Linked DNA regions of Oryzias latipes. The main gene of each other region encodes a partner of the protein of the gene in region 2 in a complex. Links are inferred from orthologs where the notes say so. Each region holds a gene or a part of one and is shown on either strand. Other genes may lie near its edges. The genes, in order: poglut1, coagulation factor VII and f3.

Evidence for each region.
Region 1: the proteins of coagulation factor VII (region 2) and poglut1 are in contact, whole or in part, in a crystal structure (PDB 5L0S), measured with the Homo sapiens proteins. The link is inferred for Oryzias latipes from reciprocal best matches to the Homo sapiens genes F7 and POGLUT1. Residues at the interface, in NP_000122.1 of Homo sapiens: Asp108, Gln109, Cys110, Ala111, Ser112, Ser113, Pro114, Cys115, Gln116, Asn117, Gly118, Gly119, Cys121, Gln126, Ser127, Tyr128, Arg139, Asn140; in NP_689518.1 of Homo sapiens: Met103, Phe104, Pro105, Ser106, Arg107, Arg132, Asp133, Pro171, Ala172, Trp174, Pro178, Thr179, Thr214, Asn239, Gln240, Ala241, Val274.
Region 3: the proteins of coagulation factor VII (region 2) and f3 are in contact, whole or in part, in a crystal structure (PDB 6R2W), measured with the Homo sapiens proteins. The link is inferred for Oryzias latipes from reciprocal best matches to the Homo sapiens genes F7 and F3. Residues at the interface, in NP_000122.1 of Homo sapiens: Leu73, Lys78, Phe91, Arg96, Leu99, Phe100, Ser103, Ser120, Lys122, Gln124, Leu125, Ile129, Cys130, Phe131, Cys132, Leu133, Pro134, Phe136, Glu137, Gly138, Arg139, Lys145, Gln148, Ile150, Val152, Asn153, Glu154; in NP_001984.1 of Homo sapiens: Thr49, Asn50, Lys52, Ile54, Glu56, Trp77, Lys78, Ser79, Lys80, Phe82, Tyr83, Glu88, Asp90, Asp93, Gly141, Gln142, Thr144, Glu162, Arg163, Thr164, Leu165, Arg167, Phe172, Tyr188, Trp190, Lys191, Ser192, Ser194, Ser195, Gly196.

What each region holds. Positions count from the first base shown.
Region 1 is NC_019860.2:16,695,410-16,699,602, forward strand, and holds the start of poglut1 (protein O-glucosyltransferase 1), read right to left. Parts: upstream 2,908-4,193; 5' UTR 2,890-2,907; coding exon 2,820-2,889; intron 1,669-2,819; coding exon 1,578-1,668; intron 1,496-1,577; coding exon 1,352-1,495; intron 1,268-1,351; coding exon 1,132-1,267; intron 1,057-1,131; coding exon 935-1,056; intron 851-934; coding exon 791-850; intron 1-790. UniProt on the Homo sapiens protein: Dual specificity glycosyltransferase that catalyzes the transfer of glucose and xylose from UDP-glucose and UDP-xylose, respectively, to a serine residue found in the consensus sequence of C-X-S-X-P-C.
Region 2 is NC_019860.2:10,267,708-10,271,948, forward strand, and holds the start of coagulation factor VII, read left to right. Parts: upstream 1-1,322; 5' UTR 1,323-1,365; coding exon 1,366-1,453; intron 1,454-3,376; coding exon 3,377-3,540; intron 3,541-3,611; coding exon 3,612-3,636; intron 3,637-3,716; coding exon 3,717-3,830; intron 3,831-3,913; coding exon 3,914-4,054; intron 4,055-4,241. Other genes in the region: uncharacterized protein LOC101163470, read left to right, coding at 702-844. UniProt on the Homo sapiens protein: Initiates the extrinsic pathway of blood coagulation. Serine protease that circulates in the blood in a zymogen form. Factor VII is converted to factor VIIa by factor Xa, factor XIIa, factor IXa, or thrombin by minor proteolysis.
Region 3 is NC_019878.2:5,081,982-5,084,996, forward strand, and holds the end of f3 (tissue factor), read right to left. Parts: intron 2,325-3,015; coding exon 2,182-2,324; 3' UTR 591-2,181; downstream 1-590. UniProt on the Homo sapiens protein: Initiates blood coagulation by forming a complex with circulating factor VII or VIIa. The [TF:VIIa] complex activates factors IX or X by specific limited proteolysis.

The DNA.
Region 1 (4,193 bases), about 6.4 Mb from region 2:
CAAAAACCTTTTTTGTTGTTGTTTTTCTAAAAAATATTGTTTCAAATGACATCACCCAGTAAAACCTAATAAAAAAAAACATTTTACAAAAACTATTAATGAACATGTGATGCTCTGATGATGAAAACCTGGGATTTTTTTTTTTAATCAATGTAATGTTTTCTTTTCCAAATGATAAATCGTAACAATGCAATGCATTTCTGTCTATGAGCATCATTGCACACTGGTTTTTCGCAGAGACTTCTGGGAAATTTTCAGGGCACTGGATTTTGGAATTGTAGATTCAATAACCCCGGAAAAAAATGCTATATAGTAAAATAAGTTTTATTAGGGAATTTGGACACAGCTGTAGTTTTCTTTCTAAAACAGAACGAGGAAATCTAGTGGCCAAATGAGGCAACAGCAACCTCAGAAAAATATTTTGTGTTGTATTAACATAGAAAAACAAAGTTTTATTAATCTGTTGTGTTTGATAAGGTTGGGTATCGCCATAAAAAATATTATAATTTCAATTAGTTTAAGATTTTATCAAATACATTTTAATTTTTTTAAAGGATTTATTATTTCAAGGCAACTTTAGTTTGGTAGTAAAACCGCTTTTCTTTTAATAAAAAAAAAGTTCTTTCTGCAAAAAACAACATTTTACCAACGTAGGTAAACTCTATTGTAGTTTTTTGTTTAATTTGTTTAATTAACTTTTTCTTGAATCTGTTTTTTCCCAGAAAACATGTGAAAAGTGGACCGGATTTGATTTGTAAAAAGTCCCAAATGACCCGTTAGCTTGACCCACCTGGAGCCTCTGAAGAATCCTTTGGGCTCCTTTTTTTTCCAGGGCCATTGAGCTGCAGACCTGTCGACACAAGAAGAGAAATTTCACAAACGTTTAAATAACATTCGCAGCTACCAGGATGTCCGCACTGCCGCTCCATCTTACTTTTTAAGATCCGTCCTCATCAGGTCCCACCTCCCCAGTCCGGTGGGGTATATGGGCCACACAGCGGGGCCACCTTCCCAAAACGTCCAAGCGGGATACATGATGTCCTGGTACTCGGCAGTCTGTTCAGTCCGAGCAAACGCGGGTTATCAAAAGAGGTTTAGAGGCATGAAGAAGCCCCCCGTCATGATCCTGACCTTACTGAAAGAGAGGACCGGCAGGGCGGGGCTCATCCAGTTCGGCACCTGAGGGTAATCCCTCACGTTTACCACCATCTCCAGGTCCGGCAGACGGTCAATCACCTCCAGGATGAAATGCTCCACGCCGCTGCACCTAAAAAAAAACCAGACGAACCAATCAGCATGTGCTGACGTTTGGCGTCCAGATCAAAGGCAAAGCGGGTTCCTGTGGGTGCACCTTGCAGGGAACATGCAGTTCTGCTCTCTGTACAGCTTGTGTTGGATGATCTGGTAGTGGGTGCCCATGCCTCGCTGAACCGTGGAAGCCATGAGGCTTTCTGAGATCCCACCTCTGAAAGGCTGCAAGTCCTGTTGGAGAACGCTGAAATCAAGAGCTGCTGGTTAGTTTTGTGAAAATGTTGGATCTGCAGGCAGACCGGAAAGAAAAAAAAAAAAAAACTCACCTCAGATGACAGCTGCAGTTGACAGAGCTACACGAGACGTAGCTCCCGACCGCTGCAGAAACACGATCGCGGGTTTTCTTCCACTTTTGGGCTGAAGAAGACGTTCAGACGTAAATTTGTGTTGTTGTTTTTACACCTATTTTTCTTTTTGCAACAAATTTTGCAATGGCTGAGCAAAAAAACAAACAAAAAAAACTGAACAGAATCGATCAAAAGACCATATTTTTACAATAAAAATTAACCATTAAGCCTTTTAGCATCATCTAGGATACTCAGTTAGCTAAAAGGCTATTAGCAAAGTTAATCATCCAAAAGTTGTGATTTTTTTCATGTTCTTTCAACTTTAAATGGTCTTCCTTTAGTTTGTAAACTATATTAATAAGAAATGGGAGAAACCTGTTGTCACATGATCCTTTACTTTTACGTTGCTCAAAGGTCATGACCACTTATACATACGACTTTAATCCTTAAACGTTAAATAAAAATCTTGTTTATTTCAAAATTTCATAGCATTCATCATAATGGAGCCAAAGTTGGAACGTTTGCTTTCGTTGTACAAATTAGATTATTTTTCAATAAAGTAAATAGGGACGAGCTTAAAGCAAGCCCCTTAACGGCTAAACCGAGTAATTTATTTCAAACTAGTTATTTGTAAAAAGTTTTTTTTTTAACAAAATGGCCCAATTAATAAAAAGTAAAACATCTTTTTTTAAGCTACATTTGGTAGAAAACTACTAACAAAAATGTAACGTTTTTTTTTCAGGGGGGACTTGCGTCGCCCCGAGCTGCAAAATGACCAAACACGCCCCTGCAGACGAACATTCCGGCTTCATCAAAAAGCTTCAAAATAAGAGCTTAAACTGACCTTTTACAATAAAACAGGCAAATAATAAAATACTAGTAAATCTTAGATAAACTTTTTTTTGTCTCGTTGTAACCAACTTTAGAAGTGAAATGGTTGGGATTACACTGATTTGTGCTAAACTCCTGTCGGCAAAGCAGGTCTGGTTCACTGAATAAACACACTCGTGTAGTTACAATTTCACTATGTTCATTCATAAAATCAATCCCAGCCTCCATAAAAGTTAGCACTCAGCCTCAGCTCAGCTCGGCTTAGCCCCCCAGCATTTTAGCCATTTAGCATTAAGTTTCTTTAAGACGTGCAGCGAAAGGTCGTGTTTTCAATCAATCAGAACTTGTTTTCAAAAGTAGGTTTAAAGACACAAAAAAAAACGTTATTACCTGATGCACCGCCTAAATTTAAGCCATAAATCAGCAGAAGATGAAAGACCCACAAACACCGGCACTCCATCGCTTGCTCGTTGATTAGCTTTGACTGGAGAGAAAAATAAATGAAAACAAAAGCATAGATCTGATCTGCGCTCTGTTGCTTCTGTCTGACCACCGTTTCTGCGGCGGTGGGCGCAAAAAAGAAGAAATTCTTGCCGTAAAATGTCGAAGAAAGTCGCAAATAAATGTATTCATGTAAAATAATTATATACATTTTAAAGTTTATTGAGAACACATGTAATTTTTGATATACATCTATTTCTAATAATAAAAAAGTAGAAAACATCCTTGTAAAATCTACTTTTTTGGCACTAAATCTAGTTTTTTGTGTAGTGTGTTTGATTTCTAAAGCAAACCAGTTCATAAAATGATAAACTCTCTAAATAAATAATTACTTAATTGTTTGGTTAATCATATTTTGTTCATTTAAAGAGCCACTCCAACAAAAATGGTGTTTTTAACATGTTCTTTTCCCACGATGGAGGATAAAAATAAAATAATTTAAAATTAAAACAGCATATCTGAGTATTTCTTTCTTAAATTAAATCGAGATGAATCTGGAGCAGATGAAAATATCCAGTTGAAAAAAGCTCTCTTTTGTGATGCAGTGAGTGAAACGGCCGGGCCAAAGCCTCACCACTTCGCATCCACGTTGTCGCATAAACTTGCGGACAAATAGATCTATTCCCGTCTTTATTTTTCTCGTTTGAGTTGGCTCCAAACTTTATGGCTGCACCTGTAATGTTAGGTTGAGTTGTAATGGGCTGTAAGCTAGCGCGAGAGAGAGCAATGGGTTATATCGCTAGAGGAGACATGCCCGCTTGGGAAGCCTGGCCACCGCTGGCGGAGAACGACGCCATCATGGTGAGGTCGTCGGCGCCCACATGACAATGCTCTCTATATAGCCTTTAGTGGCATTTAAGTAGCTTTTATGTAATATATATATATATATATATATATACACACAAACATCATTTGTTAGCCTTAGAGGCTCAAACTTTAATAAAAAATGCATAGTTGCAGGACTCCTTACAAATAAAAAAAATTATTACAAATACTTTTTAATAATAATTTCTAAACATTTAGAAGTTTTAGACCTCTTTGACATGTAATTTAAATTATTTAGAAAAGCCCAACAATAAGTCAATAATAATAATAATAATAATATAGATAATAATAAATCAATAAGCCAATAAAAAATAACAATAACAAAAGTAAATAATTAGTCAATAATAATTAATCAATAATAAGTCAATAAAAATAATAAATAGCAATAAACAAATAAAAATTCAATAATAATATATATACTTTTTGTTAATAAGTCAA
Region 2 (4,241 bases):
TCCCCTCACTCATGGTGCAAAAAAGAAGTAATGTCTATTAAATGTAGCTTTCTTTTTTTGGAATTTTAAGGCTCCTCTTCTGTCTCCTGGATGGGCGTTTTCGCCTTTTGGCAGAGTGACATAGATAGACGGATGTAACAGAGAATCTGGCAATTTTTCAAAATAAAACATCTTTCAGATTCCGAAATGAATAAGACGGAAGTCATGTAAATGATTTATTCTTACCGGTCTGCGGCCCGGGGGTTAGGAGCCGCTGATTTAGAGGACCATTTTTAGCATTGACTTGCTGCAAACAGACAATCTATCCTACAGTTCCTGATTGGTTTAAACGACACAAAGCTTTACAAAAGTTCAGATATTGGAACTCTGGAAACAAGGCTCCGCATGGCGAAATTTTTGCAGAATTTTTGGCACGCCAGATAGCTGCCCCATCCAAAACATGTTGCTCCCAGAGAACCCAGCGGCGCTCGTCGCTTAAATCGCGCAGCAGGAACTCTGACTGTGTCCGTACACTGACGGGACGCCCCTGGCGCGCGAATTGCGTTCGCCGTGAACGTAGCTTTACTGCGAAACTCACAGTTGAGAAACACCTGATTGTTTAGCTGATCCAAATGTGTCGCTGTCCAAATATTTCTGAGCCTGACTGTCAATTCCGCTAAGGCACCGCCAACAGTAATTATGTCTGTTGCTGCCTCCCCCAGGTGAAAACTGCAACCGTGGGGCTGCCCTTGGGGCCCTGCTGGGCGCCGGGGCCGCCTACAATGGGCGGGGCATCCCACAGGAATGGAAGGACCACCTGAAAGATGGGCAAGAGCTCATTCCTGAGATCCTTAAGAAGTTTTAGTTAAAGCAACAGCACCCCCCATGGAGACAAAGAGAACTGCAGGGACTAATAAAAGTTGCTGCTGCTTTCAGGTTTCATATTTATTTATGACTGATTCCACTTCAACAAGAATATTCTTTTTTTTTTTGCACGATCTATATATTTTTTACCATCAAATTAAATTATTAATCTTTTTTTCTGTAACATTTTTCTGTTTGAAGTTGCCTTTAAAAAATAAACAAACAAAGTTAAACTGGCTGAACATATTTGCATTTTTTTTCATATTTTAAAATAGAATTTAAGGAACAAATGAATCCATGTGTTTTTTTCTTTTTTTCTTTTCTTTTATTTAAGCTACTCAAGCAGAAATGTGAATTAGCTGTTGAATTATTATCATTTCTTTTGTTGTGACTAAACTGAAGGAGTGGAGCAGCTCAAACGTAAAAGTGTGGAAATTTGGGTCACTTTCTTTTTTTCTTTTTTGGGGAGGGTTGGGGAGAGTGTTTGTTTCACTCCTGACCTTTGATCAGTTCAGAACAAACATGGCGTTCATCTACAGAGAAAAGACGCATCTCTTCTTCTTATTACTCACCGCTGCTTCATTCCCAGCATGCACTGGGACTTCGGAAGGTTCGTACGGTCCTTTCTGTTTCTTCAAGTCGCTATCAGGATGATGGTTGTAGAAATAAGAGTCCAGGTTCTTCAGAGTATTTAAAACAGTCCACTAGTAAAGCGGAAAAACAACTGAAATACTAATAATCAGACTTGTTTACATTGTTTTTATGTAAAACTCAAAAAGCTTATAGAAGAAACATTTTAGACGTTGATCAATTGAAGTCAGAATTGTGATGAAGCGTCTTGAATTAGTGCCTTCAGTTTTCATTGCAAAAACTGACGGAAAAAGTAAAATCTAATTCAGTTTTTAATTAGAAAATCCCTATTGAAAATTAAAGACAAAACTGAATAATTTTTTGCTTTCACCTTCAGCTTTTGCATTAAAAGTTTAGATATTTTAATCCTGTAAAACCCACCATCAAAAAATGCAGAATTCAAATTCTTTAGAATCAAAAGAGTTTTTAAAACCTTGGAAGAAATCCACAAATATTTTGTGGATCTTCTATTTTTTGTGAGATATAGATATTATCAATATTTGGGATTTATTAATTTTTTGTTGATATCAATGATAGCTGAAGATGCAAAAGAAACATTGACATGAATGTTCAGGGAAAAAAGCCCCTTATTTACCCACCGTCTCAAATTTGATCCACACATTTAGAAATTGGTGTAAATGTATTATAAAGAATTAATTATTATTTAAATCCAGCAAGTAGTCGTTAACAAAGGACCTTGGAGGTTTGGCGGGTTGGGGTCTTCACTGAGGCAATCGGTGGTTGTCGTAATTGGTCGTCTGCCTCCATCCTGTTGGTGCCTAATCAGAGCGCCCCCTAGGCGCCACCCCTGACCAGACGGGTGGCCCTGTGGGCGGGGACCTGTGCTTGCTCCTGGAAGTCTGTGTGTGTGTGCATTGGACATGCACCTCGGGGGGAAGGAACTACTGCACCTTAAACATGAAGGACCCTTGGTCGGAGGGCTGCTTGGACATCGTTGCTAACAAGCAGAAGATGTCCTCTCAGTGCCCTACCCGCCGATTTTAGCTGCACCCTTTGTTGTAGTATGTCCATGTTTACTTGATTATATGTGAACATTACTGGAGCCAACAGGTATGTTTGTAACATTTGAGTGTGTGTGTGGACAGGCCCCGCCCCATTCAGATTTGTTATATATCTAAACCTGACAGTAATGATTATAAACTTCCAGCAACCTGTTACTTTATGATTTTACCCCCCCTCCCCCTCTATAATCACCCTCCTACCCCCTTTCCAACATCCCTCTCTCTTCTTCCCTCCTTTCCTTTTCCGCCTGGAGCAACAAAAATTGTCACAAATATAATTAATTTGAATAAAGTTGAGTCTAAATTACAAAAGGAGTTTATTCAAATATACATGTGGTGTTCGAAGATTCATAACCCCATGTTGTAAAAGTAAAATATGTCCAACACAAGCGGCCTTTAGCTCTCATCTGTTTGCTCAGATGTTGGACAGGACAAGTTAAAACGCAATAGCAGAAAAAGCCCTTCTACTGCCCCTAGTGGAATAATGATGAACTACAGGGCAGAAAACATGGACCCAGTTGAATCAAATAAGTCTTTAGGACATGCTAGTGAGATAGTGGTCTCAGAAATGCATATTTTAAATATGATACCAATTGTTATCCCTTGTGCTATCCTAGGCACTTTAACATTGGGAGTTGGGTCATCTAGACCCACTAGACAGTGCACTGAACCTTTTTTCTTCAATCATTTGTGATCTTCACTGGTGTCCATGGATTACATGAAATCTTTCCACCTTTATCCACCTTTGTCATGGTAGGAATAACACATCAATGTGAGGGTGGGGTCATCTAAGATAGCACAAGGGATAAGAGCAGAAGTCATGTAAACGTTCCTGTTTGTCAGAATATATCATTTCTGAACTGCTTATTCCCACCAAGAAGGGGTGTTCCTGGAAAGACCCGAAGCGAGTGTTTTCCTGCATCGGAGCCGTCGGGCTAACTCGTGGCTGGAAGAGTTGAGGCAAGGGAACATCGAGCGAGAATGTTACGAGGAGAAATGCTCCTACGAGGAGGCCCGAGAAATCTTTGCTCTGCCACAGCAACTGGTAAGGAGGAGTTTCGCCTGAGGGTCCTGGTGGTGTTGGTTTTTGCTGAACTGTGTTACCTGCTCTTACAGGAGACTTTCTGGAGGACTTACACAGGTACATGGGTTTTGACAGGCTGTTAGAGTAACATGGAGGAAGTCTGCTGGACTCCCATTGAAAAGTCCTCTTGCTTTCAGCTGTAGACCACTGCTTGTCCTTCCCCTGTAAGAACGGGGGAACCTGCACTCGCCACTTCAGCAACTACGTCTGCAAATGTGCCCCAGGCTTCCACGGAACCCACTGCGAGAAAGGTAGAAACCCGGAGAGCAGATGACGCCACGGCTTTTTAATTCATTTTGGTTTGCAGGAAACCATCGAGCGTTTGTTTTTGCAGCTCGCCTGACCTCGAATGGCTGTCGCTACAGAAACGGAGGCTGCGAACATTTCTGCACGGAGCTCTCAGATCGTTCTCCTTCCTGTTCCTGTGCACCGGGCTATGGTCTGGATCAGGACAACAGCACGTGCCTTCCCAAAGGTCTGAGCTGCTTTCCAAGCTGACTTGTTTGCAAAAGCTAAAAATAGAAGAAACGTGTGAGTTTACAGCACCCAAAGAAGTTTCTCCAACACCGGAGATGTCGTTGGTGACATCTAAATAAGACATGCTCTTTGGCCTATCGCATTCAAGTGTTTACAATGTAAATCAGCTGATTGTGTTGCAGAGA
Region 3 (3,015 bases), on a different chromosome or scaffold from region 2:
GGAGGGGGGCACGGTGAAACATCCGGTCTCACCGGTCCACCCTCCACTTTTTACCCTTCCTTTAGGCACCACATACTGCATGTTGGCACCACACATGCAGCAAACACACACTCACACATTTTTCCGATCATTCAAACACCACATGATTTTTTTAAAGTATGTTTTCATACTTCAGATTCAGATTACATGCTGTTTCCTTCTCCTATAAAGTGGATTACTCTGCTCATCTGCTCCTTGTTTGGCCCTTCTATCAAATTTTAGAACCCTTTGTGGCCCACAAGTCCAAACGTTTACTCACCCCTGAGCTAGACACTAAACAGCCATGAGTCGAAACCCAGGAATAAACCAGAATTAACAGTAGGTTTTTATTTTTATTTTTTTAACCTTTGAAGGGTTAGCACAACTCAACAAAAACCATAAAAGACCCCAGGCCACCTTTAACTGCAGCCTGGATGTTGACATTAGATAAGCTAGCAGGAAACCAAGGCCCTATAGGTCCCAGGCAGGAAGCTGAAAAGGAAAATTGAGCTATTAAAATTCTTAAACCGAATGAACTTTAGAATGTGCGAAACATACAGATACAAACATAATTAGTTAGAACATGTAACTTTATTTAAAAAAAAGTATGAAAACAGTAGTGTATACATGAGAGCACACTTGTTCTTCTCAGCTAAAGGTAAACCCACTTCCTTTGTTCACGTGTGTTCTCTAAACAGTTTAACAAGTCATCACAGATACATTGTTGTCACTTTAGTTGTTAATAGAATTAAAAAAATAAAGATGATTTTAACAATAAGTTACCACTTATATTTGTGAAAAAACACTAAAGGTAAACATGATTGTCCTGTAGTATGTTTTTGTGTTTTACTACTAATAAAAAGTCTAGGTCAAATTTACCCTCTAAGAGTCAAACTTCACCATTAAAGTCAGCATCTTTTCTCTGGAGGACTTTCAGAACCCTTAATACCAGAAAATCTCAGATGATGATATGCCTCACAGGCCACCGTAGGCTCCCCTGTCTCAGCTTTACACAAATTGTTTAACAGCGTTACCCTTTTTCCTACTGGTTCTGCTCAGGAAGACTAAGACGGCAACTTTTAGGATTTACTGGGATGCTCAGCTTAGAAGGATGAGTTCTATCTGCTTTCCAAAGGACAATTGTAGCCAGCAGCAGCTGATGCAGTTTCCTTTTCCAGTAAAGGTTTTATTTGTGAGTTTTCCTGGAAGGGCAGCTTTTCAGAACAAAAGCATATTAAATCTAGGATTTACCACAGAGCTGCATCTTAAATTTGAACCAACCGTGTCTGTTTGTGACAGTGTGTGTCGATTCTAATGGTTATATGTGGGTAATGAAAGTACAAGATTAATTATGAATAATTTCATAGTGATAAGCAACTTTTAGTAAATCTATCCCTGTTTGAGCCTTTTGTCTCCTAAAAGCGGACGTGCCATCTCTTTGAACCACCTTGTGTTGTACCTTTACAGCTTTACAGCAGAGCCTGCATTTCCTTTTCCTGTTTTAATACCAATATCTTACAGTGCACCACTTTCATTGGATTGATGTAAAGAAAAATCTTCTCAAAAGCAGCAGGTTTTTCTAAAGGCACATTTCCAAGACATTTTTAAGTTGCTCTGAGCCTTTTTTCTTTGACCAAAATAATTCAGTAACTGTTAAAAAGAAAACATAATTTTCCCAATCAATAATATCGATTTAGCGTTGTCAATCCATTATTTTATCATTGTTTAACACAGTAAAAAATGTGAACCAGGTCAAAGAAGGGTGGAAATGTACAACATTCAAAAACTAAAATAGCAGATCTGCAAGAATTCAACATTTTTAAAACTCTCAAATGAAATTGCGATAAATGACGGTAATGTCAGTAAAATATAGTAAATTAAGCATTAGGTACACACATATGTGCTGATTTAGTGTTGTTCTACTATAATCCCCACACCCCAATCATTCAAGTCTACAATTAAGTCAATAAATAAAGTCTCCTGTGGAGAACTGAACGTACCTGTCAGCTGAAACTAACCAGTTTAACATCAGCTTTTGGAATGCAACAAAACAAAAACATTTAGAGGAAGTTTCACAGAAACTAAAAATTACAGTTTTTGGACATTGGAATATTGGACATCTAGCAGCCTCGGGTTCAGTAGTACCGTCTGCCCCTGCAGACACTATATCTTCTGCAGCGGCAATCCCTTTTGTCTTCTCAGTGCTTTCTTCCTGTGTCTGTAGCAAACCAGGGTGATGCCAACGACAGTTCCCACGAGCAGCAGCAACAGGAGGACGCCTGCAGCAATGACTCCCAGGGAAAACACTGTGAAGACAGGAAAACAACCACAAGTCAGAGGATTTCTATTCAGAGAAATGGATTTAAAGACGGTGTAATCAAGAAAGACTGCACTGTACTACAATAATGAGTAGTAAATCAGCACTTCAACAGGCTGGCAAACTGGGTGTACCTCGCCTAAGCCTGACGCCAGGTTAGTTTTTGGCAGCCCGTGACCCCGAAAAGGACAGAAAATGAACGGATATATTATCCACATATCTATCTATACCTTTATTTAGAACAGGAGATCCAAATCAATAACAGATAAAAACAAAATGATTTAAAAAAGACAGACTGGCGACCTGTCCAGGGTGTCCCCTGCCTTCACCCACAAGTGGCCGGGATAGGCTCCGGCAGCCCCGTGACCGCGAAAGGGATAAAACGGAAAAAGATGAATGAATGAAACGTACTTGTTAACTTCAGCAGCAAACAAAACATAAACGTCTCTGTTGGATCACTTGATAACAATAAACTGAAAATGTTCTCTACAGTTTTTCCATCCTCAAAGGTTTTCAGACTCCAGTTCCAGTAAATCAATGACAGGAAAAGAGTAGTAGATGAAGACAGTAACACCTAAATAAAAATCGAACAACTAGCAAATTCTCACAGTCTAAACTAACACCGTTGTTTTCAACAGGCATGTTTTAGAAACACAAGAAACTGATCACAAGAAATTTGT